Arabidopsis thaliana: one gene and its partner. The protein of the gene in region 2 interacts with the protein of the main gene of each other region in a pairwise test. Each region holds a gene or a part of one and is shown on either strand. Other genes may lie near its edges.

What was found.
Region 1: the proteins of AT1G72180 (region 2) and AT1G51340 interact in a protein complementation assay, tested with the Arabidopsis thaliana proteins (one large-scale study listed by BioGRID).

Annotation. Positions count from the first base shown.
Region 1 is NC_003070.9:19,028,118-19,036,054, reverse strand, and holds AT1G51340 (MATE efflux family protein), read right to left. Parts: upstream 5,058-7,937; 5' UTR 4,682-5,057; intron 4,382-4,681; exon of another isoform or gene 4,379-4,381; 5' UTR 4,238-4,378; intron 4,158-4,237; 5' UTR 4,035-4,157; coding exon 3,964-4,034; intron 3,877-3,963; coding exon 3,755-3,876; intron 3,654-3,754; coding exon 3,432-3,653; intron 3,346-3,431; coding exon 3,161-3,345; intron 3,084-3,160; coding exon 2,948-3,083; intron 2,842-2,947; coding exon 2,745-2,841; intron 2,659-2,744; coding exon 2,558-2,658; intron 2,454-2,557; coding exon 2,290-2,453; intron 2,204-2,289; coding exon 2,132-2,203; intron 1,935-2,131; coding exon 1,818-1,934; intron 1,727-1,817; coding exon 1,509-1,726; intron 1,417-1,508; coding exon 1,374-1,416; 3' UTR 948-1,373; downstream 1-947. Other genes in the region: AT1G51350 (ARM repeat superfamily protein), read right to left, coding at 1-204; AT1G51330 (Serine protease inhibitor (SERPIN) family protein), read left to right, coding at 6,211-6,303, 6,562-6,887, 7,052-7,214. UniProt on the Arabidopsis thaliana protein: Citrate transporter critical for aluminum tolerance. Responsible for citrate exudation into the rhizosphere to protect roots from aluminum toxicity.
Region 2 is NC_003070.9:27,159,700-27,168,368, forward strand, and holds AT1G72180 (Leucine-rich receptor-like protein kinase family protein), read left to right. Parts: upstream 1-3,120; 5' UTR 3,121-3,476; intron 3,477-4,297; 5' UTR 4,298-4,374; coding exon 4,375-6,737; intron 6,738-6,840; coding exon 6,841-7,049; intron 7,050-7,143; coding exon 7,144-7,505; 3' UTR 7,506-7,731; downstream 7,732-8,669. Other genes in the region: AT1G72190 (D-isomer specific 2-hydroxyacid dehydrogenase family protein), read right to left, coding at 7,759-7,827, 7,920-8,132, 8,259-8,300, 8,434-8,531, 8,612-8,669. UniProt on the Arabidopsis thaliana protein: Receptor kinase involved in the perception of C-terminally encoded plant signaling peptide (CEP) and subsequent regulation of root and shoot development.

The DNA of each region.
Region 1 (7,937 bases), 8.1 Mb from region 2:
AGAAGCTATGGCGGGAATAGCTCCGAGTTTGAGAAAAGAGAGCTTTTTTGTACGATTTCCGATAATCTGGTTTTTGACCTCGCGAAGGGCCTTAAGCTTGACTTCAGGGTCAGAAGAAGCGAGACGAGAGAATACATCGGATTGACGATTGTTACCGGAGGCAGAGGAGGAGGAAGAAGCGGAGGAGGTGGTGGTGGTAGGCATGGCGGAGATTTAGTTTCTCCGGTAAATCGGAAAAAGGGTAATTGAGTTTTGGCTTAGATTGGAAAAGAATGGCAGAGGAGTTCCGTAAAGGTTTCTACTTTTTTTTGTTTTGGTCTTGTTTTTAATTTTGCTAATAAAGATTGGAATTTTATTTTTGGTTTAAAGTAATAATTGAGGGTGGCTATGAGCCAATCATGTTGAAGAAAAGAGTTTTCTAAACATAGGCCTTATTAAATTTTATTTTATTTTATTATTTGCAATTTTTGTAAAAAAAATTGTAGATCGGTTGAGATTCAATTATACGATATTTATTCTTATAAGTTTGGATATTATAGAAATATATAATATGTGACAAATACCTCCACTCTTTTATTTTATAAATGTTTTTTATTAATGAATTTTCACGTATTTTAGAAATGTCAAACTATTTATATTTAATAGATGATAAATTTTATCAATCTAGTTAATAAACTGAAGTGTAATGTGAATAGAGTTAGCACTTTGTTTATAAATATGTATTGCATATTCAGAATGTGTTTTTTTTTTCTAATGAAGAAAAAAACAAAACATATATTTTTAAAATGAATTTTCTTTGATAAACTCCTATCCAAAACTAAACCAAAAAGAAAAGAAGAAAAATTAAATCAAAACTCTTATATTCAAACAAACCATATTTCTCACGAAATTCACTCAGTTTATTTTTTAATTACTTGTTTTAAGAAAGATGAATCTGATTTGAAACCACTGTTGTCAAAACCAAACCAGCTGATATATTTTGTATTTCACGAACCACAAAATCTGAAACAAAACCAAACCAAAACTGACATCCTAATTATATCATTTGAGAAGTCATATTCGAACTACTTGTTTTGAAAAAATTAATCTGAAGTTCAACACTATAGTCAACCAAACAAAAATCAGTTTCTATATGTTCTATCGATTTTCTATATTTAACTACAATATCTGAAATAAAACCTCCAAAAATTGGACTAACCACCTCTAATTACAGGATACAACTTGAATATTTACAAGAGTAGCAGTAAAAATCGCATAGAATTATTTGAATCTCCAGACTTGTACTCTTGGTATTTTTATTTAGTTACACAACCTCATTAGAAATAAAGGTTTAAGAACAGTTAAAACATGCTCTTCCCTCTAAAATTCCTTCTTCAGCTCCTAAGAAAAGACCAAGGTCCTGTTCCTGTCCCAATCCTGTTACAGTCACATTTACATTCTGTTATAAGAAAGTTGGAAAAGTTTTTACATTTGTACTACAAGAAACAGAGAGTTTCACAAAGTTTTACCGCCAGAATCCAACGGCTGCTCTAAGACTCATGTAAATGGTGAGACCAAACCAAAGTCCAATAAAACCATGAGTCGATGAGAGGAAGAGCAAACACAAGATGCTAACTATAGCCACCATTACTAATGAAGCTGCGGCGTAACCGAAATCGGATGCTCCAAAGTTAACTCCATCGAACACAAACGCTAAGGCATTAATTGGTTGTGTCCCTGCCACAAACTTTAGGAAACAAGAAATGATTTTTAGCCAAATTAATGTTACGTAATAATATTGATCCTGATTAGTGGTTTAATGGGAAATGATTAGTTACCGGAAGTCCTATGCTAATTAGGTGTAAAACTTTATCGTCTTTTGTAAACACTCTTGCTCCAAAATGCAATCCTGCTCCAAGTATAACCGCAAGTACAAAACCGAGAACCAATCCCAACTGTCACAAGATTTAGTTCTTTAGCTTTAAATTGATCTAGAATCGAATCTTTATAAGCTAAAGTACACATAGGCCTCCATTGTTTGTTTGCCTTTGAATTACCTATTATGTATACTTTCTGTGTATATTTTCTTCATATAAATCCAAAATCGTAAACATAATGTAAACGCAAACACAAATGCATAAATTGTGTGTACCTGCAGTACACGAGAGGCGGTAGCTGCTGCTCTTTTGTAGTCTTTTTTGGCAAACGCGCTCGCTAGTATTGCCTAAAGGAAAAGACATTTGTTAAAACTTTAAACCACGCGCTTAATCGTAAAAGGATGCAATGTTAGAGACATCATTATCTAAAAACCTGGCCAGCTACGGCGTACCCGTCTGCAAGAAGTGAAGTAGCTAACCAAACCTGCAAGCAAACTTGGAAAGCTGCCATGGAAGTTGATCCTTCTCGTGCAGCTAGTGACGCGGAGAGAGTTACACAGAATGTTACTGCAATTACTCTCATCAGCAAAAGAAAGCCTGGGAGAGAAATATTTCACAAGAAAACAAGAACCAAACAGTGTTATTTTATCAGAGATTTCATTGTAAACACATTGAATTTTCTTTGAAGTATTTTACAATACCATTTTTCATGAATCTACAGAACTGAAGATGTTTGGTACTCATGTTGAAGATATCAACTTGACCCATCAGTTTCCACAAGAGTATTCCACACATAAGGTATCTGAAAATGAACATAGAAACCACTAGTCAATTAAAGTAGAGGCCATTTTGAGATTATTCAAGGTTCACATGCAAAACTAAACTCACTGGGATATAACATGAGCAGTGGCTGCTCCTGTTACGCCTAGGCGGAAAACAAATATGAAAATCGGGTCGAGTATTATGTTTGTTACATCTCCAATCACTACAAAAAAAAAGTGGATCATTAATCATCAAACAAGAAAAGTAAAGTGGATCATTAGCTTTGTTCTGTTTTAAGGATTTTGAACATATGAAAAAAATAGTATTACCAGTAGCGAATAACGGAGTTGTCGTGTCTTTAAATCCGCGGAAAACGCCTTGTGCCGCAAGTGAGAGTAGAACAGCTGGTGCACCAAGTGATCTTAAAGATAGATATCTCTGAGAAGGTCTCATCATTGGAGAATCCTGAAAAAATCAAACCATGTTAAGTGATTTTGAATCTCATAACATCATTTATAGAGAACAAAAGATCGATACGTTACGTGTTTTACTCCCATGAAACTCAAGAGAGGTTTGGCTGCGGATATAAGAAACACGGCTTGAAAAAGGCCGAGAACGCCTCCAATGATTAAAGCAGATGAAGCTGATGGTATGTTTCTTTTCTTGGCTGGAGGTTTACTAATACTAAAGATACTGCTACTGGTTTTAAATTCATCTGATAAAGAATCTGAAATAAAAATGAATATACTTGTGATTATTACCACCACAAAAAAAAACAGAGGAGTGATTATGTTAGCAAGAACAAATATATACCTTTATGTTTTTCAGGAATCAATTCTATAGTTTCCTCAGTTGGATTGTTGATACCAATTTCAATACATTCTTTATGATCTCGGACTGTGTCTTGCTGAGAACTACAAGCATCTTCTTCTGCTACAAAGGAAGTTGTGATGCTAACAAGTGGGAAAATAGCAATTCTTGAAACTTGGTTGAATAAAGCAATAGAAACTCCAACTGCAGCAAGCTCTACAGGACCTATCAGTCATCACCACAACAAGAACCGAAAATTACACCAATAATTTTCATTTATAAAATAACAATAAACAAATGAAAAGAGTTGTTGTTCTTGTTGTTACCAATTTGGCCTATGAAGGCTGTGTCAACTAGAGATGCAATAGGATCAGCTGTTAAAGCAAGTGCTGCGGGTAAAGCAATTCGCGCTATCTCTAAACCGAGCTCATCAAATTTCAGAACTGATCTGATACATCAAAGAAAAACCAATTCTCAAGTTTCACTTCTTGAGGCCATGACCTCAAACAGAATTATACAAGAAAATATATTTTACCTGAAATCACTAAAGAAAATGTATAGAGGGTTTCTTGGAAAATCTGTGTTGTAGCCATCTTCAGACATCATTAAGAGATGTTACTGAAGCTTCTTGAGTCTCTTAGCGTCACAAGTACATATAAGAATATGTATACAGAATCTAGCAAAGTAAATGATTCTCGGTTAGGTTGGTGACATTTCATTAGGTGCCCCCTAGAAAAAGATAAAAAGAGAATTATTTCATTTTCAGGAATAAAGTTGTGTGGAGGCTAATAACCACATATTACAATTACCTTAGAATTCAAATAATTGATGACTTTAAGTCAAACTCCAATTTTGTGTTGCCTCCAGAAATCTAGAGGGTTCCAGAAAATCCCAAAATTTGTTCTAAGAACAATTTAGCCTTGGATCATAGGCTGAAACTTTCCCCACCTCTTCATATACCAAAAAGTAAAATATAGAAAAACATCAAAAGAAATAAGAAGAGATTAAGAAGAGAAAGTTGGTTATAACCACAAATTTTCTATCACTAAAAGTTTGGTTAATGTCAATTACCAAAGAAAAATCGAAAAACTTGATTTTAATTAATGAGAGATAGCTACCCAACAATTTGACGAAACCTTTATGAAAAAAACAAACAAAAAAAGGAATTTTACTTTATTCCAAAATGTGTAGAATTTGAAAAAGTGATTAAGAACGAAGATAGCAAAAGAATGTAACGTAAAAGAAGAACCCACCTTTTTTTCTGAACCAAGAAGAGAGGTCAACAATGTCTCTTTACTTTTTTCTATTTTCACGAAACAGTTTCCAAGCAAAACTTTTACGAAACAATTTCCCAGAAATTACAAACCAACAAAACAAATCCTCAGTTTATGTTCTCTAGCAGTTTGGCGAATGTTGCACTCTGTTTTGGACTTTGGACCAAATAAATAGAGTCAAATTCAGATAGGGTTTTGGAAATAAATCTCGATGGATTCGAATGATATGAAAAAATGGAAACAATGAAGGAGTAGGAAAGTTGACAATAACAAAAAGAAATCAAAAAATGATTTCGAAAAACAAATGGTTGAGACTAAGCAGATGCGTGTAGATGGAAGGTGGAACGTGTTTTAAGTTTAAACATTCGAGAACATATTAATTATTTTCTTTCTTTTAAAAGGAAAATATGTACTTTTAGAATATAAAATAAATATTTTGTCCAAGAAAAAATAATAATTAAAATCGTGAACCATGACTATTACTTTCCCAAAAAAATGATTTAACTGGTGAAATAAGGTTTATTTATTTAATTCCACATATATATTTTATTTTTTGTTACAATTATACAATTTTCATCTAATATATATTGATTTTTTTTTTTTGTAAATCACTTTTTTTTTTGTCAACTACACTTAATTAAAAATAACTCCATAATTAGTTGCCTAATAAGATTTATAAAAAAAAATTGGTCAAACTATCCGATGATTCTTTTAAATAAACTTTGAATATGATATGAAAACATTTAACTTAATTGTATTTACAAAAACGATTCAGCATGTTGAATATATACGTTTTTCTAAACAATATTTGTCATATATACCCTCCTAGGATATGCACTAAGATGCTTAATTGAGTTTAGAAAATGTGAAACTGCTAATAATAATAATATATTAGATAATTTTACTTTAATCAGAAATAACCTTTCCCATAGGTACCTTTCCGATATGCACCTCTAAGCTATGTCCTATGTGAATTAAGGTAGATTTAGATTATTTTTTATTTTTTATTTTTTATTTCCTGTATGTGGTGGAGAATCAGAATTAGTTTTTTTCTTCCAAAGTAATAAATTTAAAAATCTTTGCAAAATAGGAAGGTAATTTGTTTTTTTTTAAGAAACAAACAAAATATAATTGATTGAAGTGCAAAGCGATTGGTGTTAGAAAAAAAAGGAAGTGCAAGAGCGATTTGATGATTTGTTTTGGACATCTTTTTTCGGTCATTGTTCAAAATTATAATTAATAAAATATATACTCATTAGAATCAATAAAGTAAAAATATTTGGTTTTGTTGAAAAGGGGTTTTAGGCCGACCACACATTACAATTTACTTACATCAAATTATTGATGACTTGAAGTTAATGTTGTGTTAAGTGTCAACATGACATACGATAGATTTTCGAGGGAAAATGGTAGTTCACATAAGCTGGATTAAGTTTTTGTGTGAGATTAATTGTGCATCTAGTAGATAAAGAATTCAAAATGTCATTCCAAAAATCTTTAATGGTAACATGAGGAGAGAGTATGGTTCTGTTTCCGCGAAATCGCTTCCGTTGTCCTTGTCGAAGGAAGCTAAAGAGGTGGTCCACGCGGCAGTCAATGGAGTATAGATAGAGAATTCACTTTCGTGTAGTCCCAGGTCCAAGGATCTCTTTGAGAATTTCTTCAAGCTGATTTTGCTCAAGTTGATTTCCTATCTTTTAGGTTTCGAATTTCTATAAATAAATTAGGTCAACAGATGTTTGACACTGTACACTTAAGTGCTTAGAGAAACTACATATATATATATATATATATATATATGTGTGTGTGTGTGATCTTTGGTTTGTGGTATTGTGTTAATGGTTTTTGTTGTTTTGAAGGCCGAGGAAGTGCGTATGGAGGTGAACTCGTGGGCTTTACGTCACACCAATGGTCTCATCAAAAATCTTCTACCTCCTGGATCTGTTACAAACCAAACCATTAAGATTTATGGAAACGCACTGTACTTCAAGGGAGCTTGGGAAAACAAATTCGGTAAGTCAATGACGATACACAAACCTTTCCACCTTGTCAATGGCAAACAAGTACTTGTGCCTTTCATGAAAAGCTATGAAAGAAAATATATGAAGGCTTACAATGGTTTCAAGGTCCTTAGAATACTACAATACCGAGTAGACTATAAGGATACAAGTCGCCAATTCTCAATGTATTTCTTTCTACCGGACAAGAAAGATGGATTGGATAAGCCTGTCGAGGAAATAACATCTAGTTATGGATTCTAGGACAGCCACATTCCGAGATGGAAAGATAGAGTTGGTGAATTCAGAATTCCAAATTTTGAGATTGTTTTGAAGCTTCAAGAGTTTTCAGTGACATGGATCTTAATGTTTTGATTGAGATCGATGAAGAAAGTGCAGAAGCTGCGGCTGCTACTGCTCTAGCTTGCACAGTTGCACTTGTGTGGCTGCAGCGCTATTATGCCGCCTCCTCCCATAGATTTTGTGGCAGATTATCCATTTCTTTTCTTGATTAGAGAAGACAAACTTGAACTGTTTTGTTCGTTGGCCAAATCTTTGATCTTTCGGTATCTTCTTCTACTTAGGATGGCATTAACCGGATCAGAGTTTGGAATTTTAAGATTTAGTTCTTCATGTAATTCTTCAATTTTTTTTAACTCTATCTTTTCATTTTTTTTTATCTTAATATAATCAAAGTAATCAAATTTGTTTCAACTTTTAATTTACTCTCATTGTGATTTTAGTTTTATTTTTCCATTTTGAAAATAAAATAAAATATTTTTAACTTTTTTTCAATAGGCGTATCCAAATAAGAAATTTATCCAAATTAAACCATTCCGGATTCTTTTATTTCACATTTCAACTACATAAAAGAAATATACATTTTAATAAGTTCATAATCTTATGCTACTTAATTTTATTAATAATTTTGTAAATTGTTTCTTATGCTATTTAATTTTATTTTAATTTTATAACAATTAAATTTTATGCTATTTAATTTTAAAATATGTTAAAGATATTCAGTATTTCCGAATATTTGCTATTTGTTTTTTGGTTGACTGAAAAATTAAATATTTTCCTTAAAAAATCTATGAATTGCACAATTTGATAGCTCTAGAAGTTTATGGAAACATTAATTTATGTAAATTATGTGTACAGAAATGAAGAATGAAATCTCAGATGATAGACTAACTAAGTCATAAATCATTTTATCCCTAATTCTTTTTTCTTAACAGGTC
Region 2 (8,669 bases):
TTGAGTGGTCCTCTTCTGGAAACCTTGATAGGTCTTACTCTTACCTCAGTAGCTGCTGAATAGTCTTCACAGGTTTTTACGATCTTAGTATCCGTTTATTGGCCATAACCGATACGGTGTAGTAGATTTAAGAAGTTCTTTCGGAAGTCTCACACGCTAAAGGAATAACTTTGCAATTTACTCTAGTTTATCGATATTTCAAGAATCAAAAGATTACTACTCGATGTCTAGAAGTTTCCGCTATGTAGAAAACTTGGTTGTTTCAAAATGTCGTTTTGATGGTTTGGCCTAAAATTTAAAGTGGTTTATCCACTAGTAGTCTCTAAGTGTTGAACCGTAGAACAGATTTTCCATTTATAGAGAGACAATACAATGTGTCATAGATGAGTGGACCACAAGATAGAACCACAAAAAAAAATTTGTCTCAACATGGTCACACGTGCATAGTACACGTACAGCTTTCGTGGATTCTATTCACATGGTATCAATCAAAAACACATACGCGTGATAGACTCATCTTTTTCATGTGCATGTCCCGAAAGTGACGTTGCTCCACTGGAACTCACCGCCTAAAAATCCCATCTTCAAAACGTTTCTCTTGGCCCTCGATATAAATGCATTGGTTACCAAATTGTCGATATTATTGCTTCAATCATGATTCGGCTTCATTGGTATATCCGTATATATCCCTTGTCACGTAAGGCAAACACATAAAATATATGATAAAAACAAAAATTAATGGAGTTGAATTTAGTGTTACCTATAACGGGTATTAATTATACAAAAGTATGTAAATTAGTAAAATAGTGAATCGCCCATGAAGTTGCATAATCTTGTCTTGTAAACAAATGTATTGTAATGACGTGACGTTGTGTTAGTAGAGGTATGGAGACAGATATGCTCTTCTGATCAGTTTCTCGTCCGATCAATATTATTATCATTGTGGGACGGTCCTACTCGACAAATTATAGAGACACCCACGTTTACATTATTGTAAATATTTATATTTTTAGCTAACTTCGGGCCTACTGTCACTATTTGCTAGCTATATTTTCTTCAAAATGAAACCGTCATCTATATTCAATGTCCTGTTTCAAATAAGCTCAAAATATTTTGGTCAAAATTACCTTTACTTGATGGAATTTTGCAATGCTTGATACATTATGTTTATGCAATTTTATGGTGCATTATTATATGTATGTAAAGTATCTAATTTTTAAGTATACTCAACAACGAATAACTAAAACATAGATCATATCTAACACTAGTGTTTGTCTCTAGCGATAATAAAACTTTAAATTCTCTAATGTCTCTACCAATAGAATATTTTTGTGTGATATATATGTATATATAGAGCAAACAATGTGGAAAGCGACTGGGAAAATAAAGGAACCAAATGAGAAAGGGAAGGGATACAGCTGGGGAAGTCAACATCCAAATCAAAGATCTTTTGATTCTCACTCACATATCCCTTTATTAAACCGTATCTCTTCCCATTTAAACCGACACAAGAAAATTTATTAGGTATCACGGTTAATACTTTATTATTCAGTAGAAAGTATTAGTATTTAAACAACTAAAGAGAAGTTTTTTTTTTTTCTTGCAATAGCTAAAATTCCATTTTGTATACTCTTAAAAAAACTATGTTAGTATTATTGATTTTGGCCAAATGTATGGGGGGATTTTTTTTTTATAGTATTCTCATCTACTTTTTGTTTTTGTTATTGACTGTCTCTGATTTCTTTCTCGTGTATTGTCTCACTTTTTAAATCATTATCTTAGATTTTTCTTAATAAAATAAAGAAGCAACATACTATATACTATTCTAACATGTAGGATGATAACCTTGTAAGGGCCATAACTTTATGGAATTTCATTTGTAAGTTTGAATAATTACCAATCGAGTGAAGTGAGCATGAAAACAAAGTGATTCAGTGAAAGGGGTACATTTATAACCACATAATCATCATATACTAACCATTTCACTATCTATTACCGTTTCTAAATATTTTACTGTATTATGGTCCTTTAATTTGTGTTTTAACTTTTAGTGGCTAAACGATGCCATAGGACCCAAGGCCATCACACATTGATATCAATCAGAAAGAGAATAAGCAATTATAAGTTTTCATAATAAATATGTGATATAAAACTTGGAGATAAATCAGAATGGGATTCGGAGCATAAGGGGATAACATTAGAGAGATGGATGTAGAAAGAAAAGGACATTGAGTAGGTTAGACGATTCTTATCAAACTTCACTTAAAAGGGTAATCGACCCAACAACATTTTAGTTCTCTCTTTCTTTTTTGGTTCTTTAATTTTAATTTATTTTCCAGACTGTAAACGAATATTAACACTACAGAAGAAACCAAAAATGTTTTTTTTTTCGGCCTAACTATTTGGGATCAATACGATTCGTTGCTTATTTTTTTCTAGTAACCTTCATAGGTTTCTCCAAGCTTTCATTATTTATTGTAATTGATCTCCACTTTAAAAGTAAAATCCAATAAATCAGCATTTCCTAATTATATACTAGTAATATTTTTTCACTTTTATTTTTATCATCTTATATATAGGAACTATATGAATGTAAATGTTTTCACGTAACGTTTTGGACATATACAACTAGTAGTTGCTACTAATTCCAATAGGAACAATTATCGCTATGACAAAAACAAATATCAAATAAGATTATTTTCCAGACAATGACGTATCATTATAATAATAAATTTTAAAATGTTTTATTACAATGAATCTCCACTTATTATCAATCCATCTAGAAACATTAACCGAAAGATGAATGTTTTTCTACATCCATGAAACTAATTTTTTAGGTCAATGTCTGTTGTTGATCCTCTTTTATATATTAGAAAACTATATAAGCACCGTTGGATTTTCTTAACCTGAGAGCGACGCTAACTATAAAGAAAGATCATCATAACATATTATATGTCAAAATCAGTATAGTCAGATGATTTTTATTAACTTTAAAAGTTTTTACAACTTTCACGAACATGAATTGTATGGTGAGAGAAGCTAGCTAGAGAAATAGTTGATTTTTTGATAAATGATTTAACCTTTTTGGCTCCAAGTCTCGACGACAACTTTCTCTTGTCTCTTCTCACTTCTCTTTCCTCTCTCCTCTCTTCTCAAATCTCTCTCTCTTTCGTATTTCTTGGAGACATCTTTCTCTGGAACTGTTCTTCATCGAATTCTATCTTTTGAGAGAAACTAAATTAAGTTGATAATCGAAGAACTTCCTCGAAATTAGGACTTCTTCTGCTTTTTGTTGTTTCCTAGAGATTTTCCTAGAACGTGGTCCAAGAAAATCACACAAAAAGGTTCATTCCTTTTTTCTTACCAGAAACCACAAATCAAAATCATCTCCCCTGTCTTTGTTTGAAATCTCTCAAATTTAAGAAGGATCATCCATTCACTAACCTGAGATTTTGGATAGGTTTCATCTATTTCAGGTACGATAATTCTTCATTATATTTTGTTTAATCCCGTTGCTTTTCTTGGTTTTAAGTTTTGAATCTTTAAGCCTCACATATTTGTTTTCTTTACTCAATCTAAGGTTGTTTTATTTCCAAAGATTTAAAGGATAGATTCTGTGAAAAAGTTTCTATAAATTTCAAATTTTCAAATGTGTAGGTTACTAGCTCTACTAATAACATAATTACTTTATCCACTAACTACAATCTGCATGACTCATTTTTAACTTGATTGTTTATTTAATTACCTTTTTAATCATTAATCCTTGATAGATACTCAATTCTCAATGTTGTGTTGTTCTTTTTTCATTAAAATTCAATGCTTTTAAAGTTTATATTCACAGATTTAGAAGGAGAGAGAGAGAGTAAAGATAGATCATTTGCTTTACTTTCAAACAAAATAATTAAGAAACTGAAAATTTAGGAGAAGGATAATAAACTTTCTGCACTGTAATGAGTACCTTTAAAGCTCACTTTTGGAGTTTGTGTACTTAAGCAAGCTTAATATGTCCATCTACCATACATGATGTATAAATGTATCACAACTAATTTATGATTTATACAAAACTGTTCACAAATCACATGCACCCATTCTTCTTACAAAATCTTTGCTATGATTGATTTTTTATATATATAGTAATATACGTGCATAGAATATAATAATAATAAACAGTAAACACAATTGGAAAACCATAATACTATGAAAATCCCATACATTAAAATATCAAATTTATTTTGAGTGGATTATTAATTGTATAGTGGTTAGTTTGTTGATTTCATATCTTTATTTTTCTATGTAGGTGGGAATTCCAGTGCATCGACCATGATCAACACCTAAACTACAAATTGACCGTTTTGCCCTTGGGAATCACTATAAATGTCGAGAAGACCAGACCTCCTACGTGGCAGCGTGGTCGCCACCGTGGCTGCCACGTTTCTCCTCTTCATTTTCCCGCCGAATGTTGAATCGACCGTTGAGAAACAAGCTCTGTTTCGCTTCAAAAACCGCCTCGACGACTCTCACAACATTCTACAATCTTGGAAGCCTTCCGATTCACCATGCGTGTTTCGCGGCATCACATGCGACCCGTTATCCGGCGAAGTCATCGGTATTTCTCTAGGAAACGTAAATCTCTCCGGCACCATTTCTCCATCAATCTCAGCTCTCACAAAGCTCTCTACGCTATCGCTTCCATCTAACTTCATCTCCGGAAGAATCCCGCCAGAGATAGTCAACTGCAAAAACCTTAAAGTTCTCAATCTCACCTCCAACAGACTCTCCGGAACAATCCCAAACCTTTCTCCTCTAAAGTCCCTAGAAATTCTCGACATCTCCGGGAATTTTCTTAACGGAGAGTTTCAAAGCTGGATTGGGAATATGAATCAGTTGGTTTCTCTCGGTCTTGGCAACAATCACTACGAAGAAGGTATAATTCCTGAGAGTATTGGAGGTTTAAAGAAACTTACTTGGCTGTTCTTAGCTCGCTCCAACTTGACCGGGAAGATTCCAAACTCGATCTTTGATCTGAATGCTCTCGACACTTTCGACATCGCGAACAACGCAATCTCCGATGATTTCCCAATCTTAATCTCAAGATTGGTAAATCTCACCAAGATTGAGTTGTTCAACAACAGCTTAACAGGTAAAATCCCTCCGGAGATAAAGAACTTGACTCGTTTACGCGAATTCGACATCTCTTCGAATCAGTTGAGCGGGGTTTTACCTGAAGAACTCGGAGTTTTGAAGGAGCTCAGAGTTTTCCACTGTCATGAAAACAACTTCACCGGCGAATTTCCTTCTGGTTTCGGCGATCTAAGTCACCTCACTTCTCTTTCGATTTATAGAAACAACTTCTCCGGTGAATTTCCGGTTAACATCGGCCGGTTCTCGCCGCTCGACACGGTTGATATATCTGAAAACGAGTTTACTGGTCCATTTCCAAGATTCTTATGCCAAAACAAGAAACTACAATTCTTGCTCGCCTTGCAGAACGAGTTTTCCGGCGAGATTCCGAGATCTTACGGCGAGTGCAAATCTCTATTGAGACTAAGGATTAACAACAACCGTCTAAGTGGTCAAGTTGTTGAAGGATTCTGGTCTCTACCGCTTGCTAAGATGATTGATCTCAGCGATAACGAACTCACCGGAGAGGTTTCTCCTCAGATTGGACTTTCAACAGAACTGAGTCAGCTCATTTTACAGAACAACAGATTTTCCGGCAAGATTCCTCGTGAGCTCGGAAGATTGACTAATATAGAGAGGATTTATCTGAGCAACAACAATCTTTCCGGCGAAATTCCGATGGAAGTTGGAGATTTGAAAGAGTTATCATCTCTGCATCTTGAAAACAATTCATTAACAGGATTTATCCCTAAGGAATTGAAGAATTGTGTCAAACTTGTTGATCTGAATCTCGCTAAGAACTTCTTGACCGGAGAAATCCCTAACAGTTTATCTCAGATTGCTTCTTTAAACTCGTTGGATTTCTCAGGGAATAGGCTAACAGGTGAAATCCCGGCGAGTCTTGTGAAGTTGAAGCTGAGTTTCATTGACTTGTCTGGAAATCAACTTTCAGGAAGAATACCACCGGATCTTTTAGCGGTGGGAGGATCCACCGCGTTCTCACGTAACGAGAAGCTCTGTGTTGATAAAGAGAACGCTAAAACAAATCAGAACTTGGGGTTGAGTATTTGCAGTGGCTACCAAAACGTGAAGAGGAATAGTTCACTCGATGGAACACTCTTGTTCTTGGCTCTTGCAATTGTTGTGGTAGTACTAGTGAGTGGTTTGTTCGCGTTGCGTTACAGAGTTGTGAAGATACGTGAGCTTGATTCGGAAAACAGAGATATCAACAAGGCGGATGCGAAGTGGAAAATCGCGTCTTTTCATCAAATGGAGTTGGACGTTGATGAGATTTGTAGATTGGATGAAGATCATGTGATTGGATCTGGAAGTGCAGGAAAAGTGTACCGTGTTGATTTGAAAAAAGGTGGCGGGACAGTGGCGGTTAAGTGGTTGAAGAGAGGAGGAGGAGAAGAAGGTGATGGAACAGAGGTCTCTGTTGCGGAGATGGAGATTCTTGGAAAGATTAGACACAGAAACGTGTTGAAACTCTACGCTTGTTTGGTTGGAAGAGGTTCTAGATATTTGGTGTTTGAGTTCATGGAGAATGGGAACTTGTATCAAGCTCTTGGCAACAATATTAAAGGCGGTCTACCAGAACTGGATTGGCTCAAAAGGTACTCTCTAGTCAATAAGAACCAGTTTCAAAATGGTTAATCATGGATCCAAGATTATAAGAAAGAAAAGTGATTAATTTGTCCCTTTTTGTTGGATAAACAGATATAAAATTGCGGTGGGAGCGGCAAAAGGAATCGCATATTTGCATCATGATTGTTGTCCACCCATCATTCACAGAGATATAAAGTCAAGCAACATTTTACTTGACGGAGATTATGAGTCGAAAATCGCAGATTTTGGAGTTGCAAAAGTTGCAGACAAAGGATATGAATGGAGCTGCGTTGCTGGAACTCATGGCTATATGGCTCCTGGTGAGTTTCCAACTTAACTATAAACTTTGGTTCACAAGATGAAAACTGGGAACTGATTCTTTTTTGTTGTAATTGTGTGATATGATCACTGCAGAGCTGGCTTACTCCTTCAAGGCAACGGAAAAGAGTGATGTGTACAGCTTCGGTGTGGTTCTTCTAGAGCTAGTTACCGGTCTTCGGCCTATGGAAGACGAGTTTGGAGAGGGGAAAGACATTGTTGACTATGTCTACTCTCAGATTCAACAAGATCCGAGGAACCTTCAAAATGTTTTGGACAAGCAAGTTTTGTCCACTTATATAGAAGAAAGCATGATTAGAGTTCTGAAGATGGGTCTTCTCTGCACTACGAAGCTCCCGAATCTCAGACCGAGTATGAGAGAGGTCGTGAGAAAGCTTGACGACGCTGATCCCTGTGTCTCCAATTCTCAAGACACAACTGGAAAGATTACAGTATAGATTGATGATTCACCTACCACGTTTTAGTTATGGTTAAGACTAGTCACTGGTCAAAGAAGTATCAGTTTGTTCGAGACTTGAGTAAAAGTACGAGAGATTGGTTTTTGCTTATTTACTAATCCGTTGTACTAAAAAGTTTGCAGTGAAAGGTCGGAGTTATCAGAAAGAGACTTGGATTAATTTATATTAACTACTGTGGGTGTGTGTTACAGGATATTATTCTTGTGACGATAATACACGAAAATGTTACCTCTTAATTGACGAATTCGATTCCGGTGAGAGGAAGTCCTTCATGCAACTGAAGCGCGAGGTCTCCGACAATCTACATTTAACAACAGTAAGAGTTTAGAATCCATTTCCAACCAAATGCAGAAGACATATCAGAAAGAGTGAATCTTCCTTGGATGAGTTTACCTTGGCCATGGACCTATATGAATATTCGGTAACTCCAGCGACATGAGGGGTTATTATAACGTTTTTGAACTTCAAAATAGGATCATTTGGATCAAACGGCTCAGACCACGCCACATCAATCCCAAGGCCTCCTAGATGACCGGACTCCAGATTCTGGAAAGCTGATTCATAGTTAATAAGACCACCTCGGGCAATATTTACAAGAAGAGCACCCTGAAACAACCAAAGAGAAGTCAACAGTCACCAGTAATCACAAAATAATTCAACTCCGTTGACGACAAAAAAAAAAAAAAAAAATTCAACTCGGTTTTTCCAAATATGAATAGCCCCGGTAATCACCTTTTTCATTGAGCATATGAACTCCTTATTCACTATTTCAGCCTGAAAATGTCATCATGTAGAAGAAACAATAGCCATATTATCTAAATTGCAGATATATTTTTCACTGCCAAGAACAACTCTTCATATTCATTTGCTTGACAAGTTTATGATGAAGGAGAAGTGGAAATATTACCGTTTCTTTGTTGAGCCTCAAACAAACAACGACTATATCGGCTTTGCCAGCGAATGTGTAAATGTCTTCATGGCTACCTTTCTCATCAACTAGCCTGGCTGAAGATATAAGTTAACAAATTACTAGACCTCAGGATGGTTTGTCAAGGCAAACAGAGGAGTTAAAAGAGAACCCATACAGTCTGAGTCGACGATAGAAGCAGGCCAGAATCTTTTCGTGGCTATTACTCTCGACCC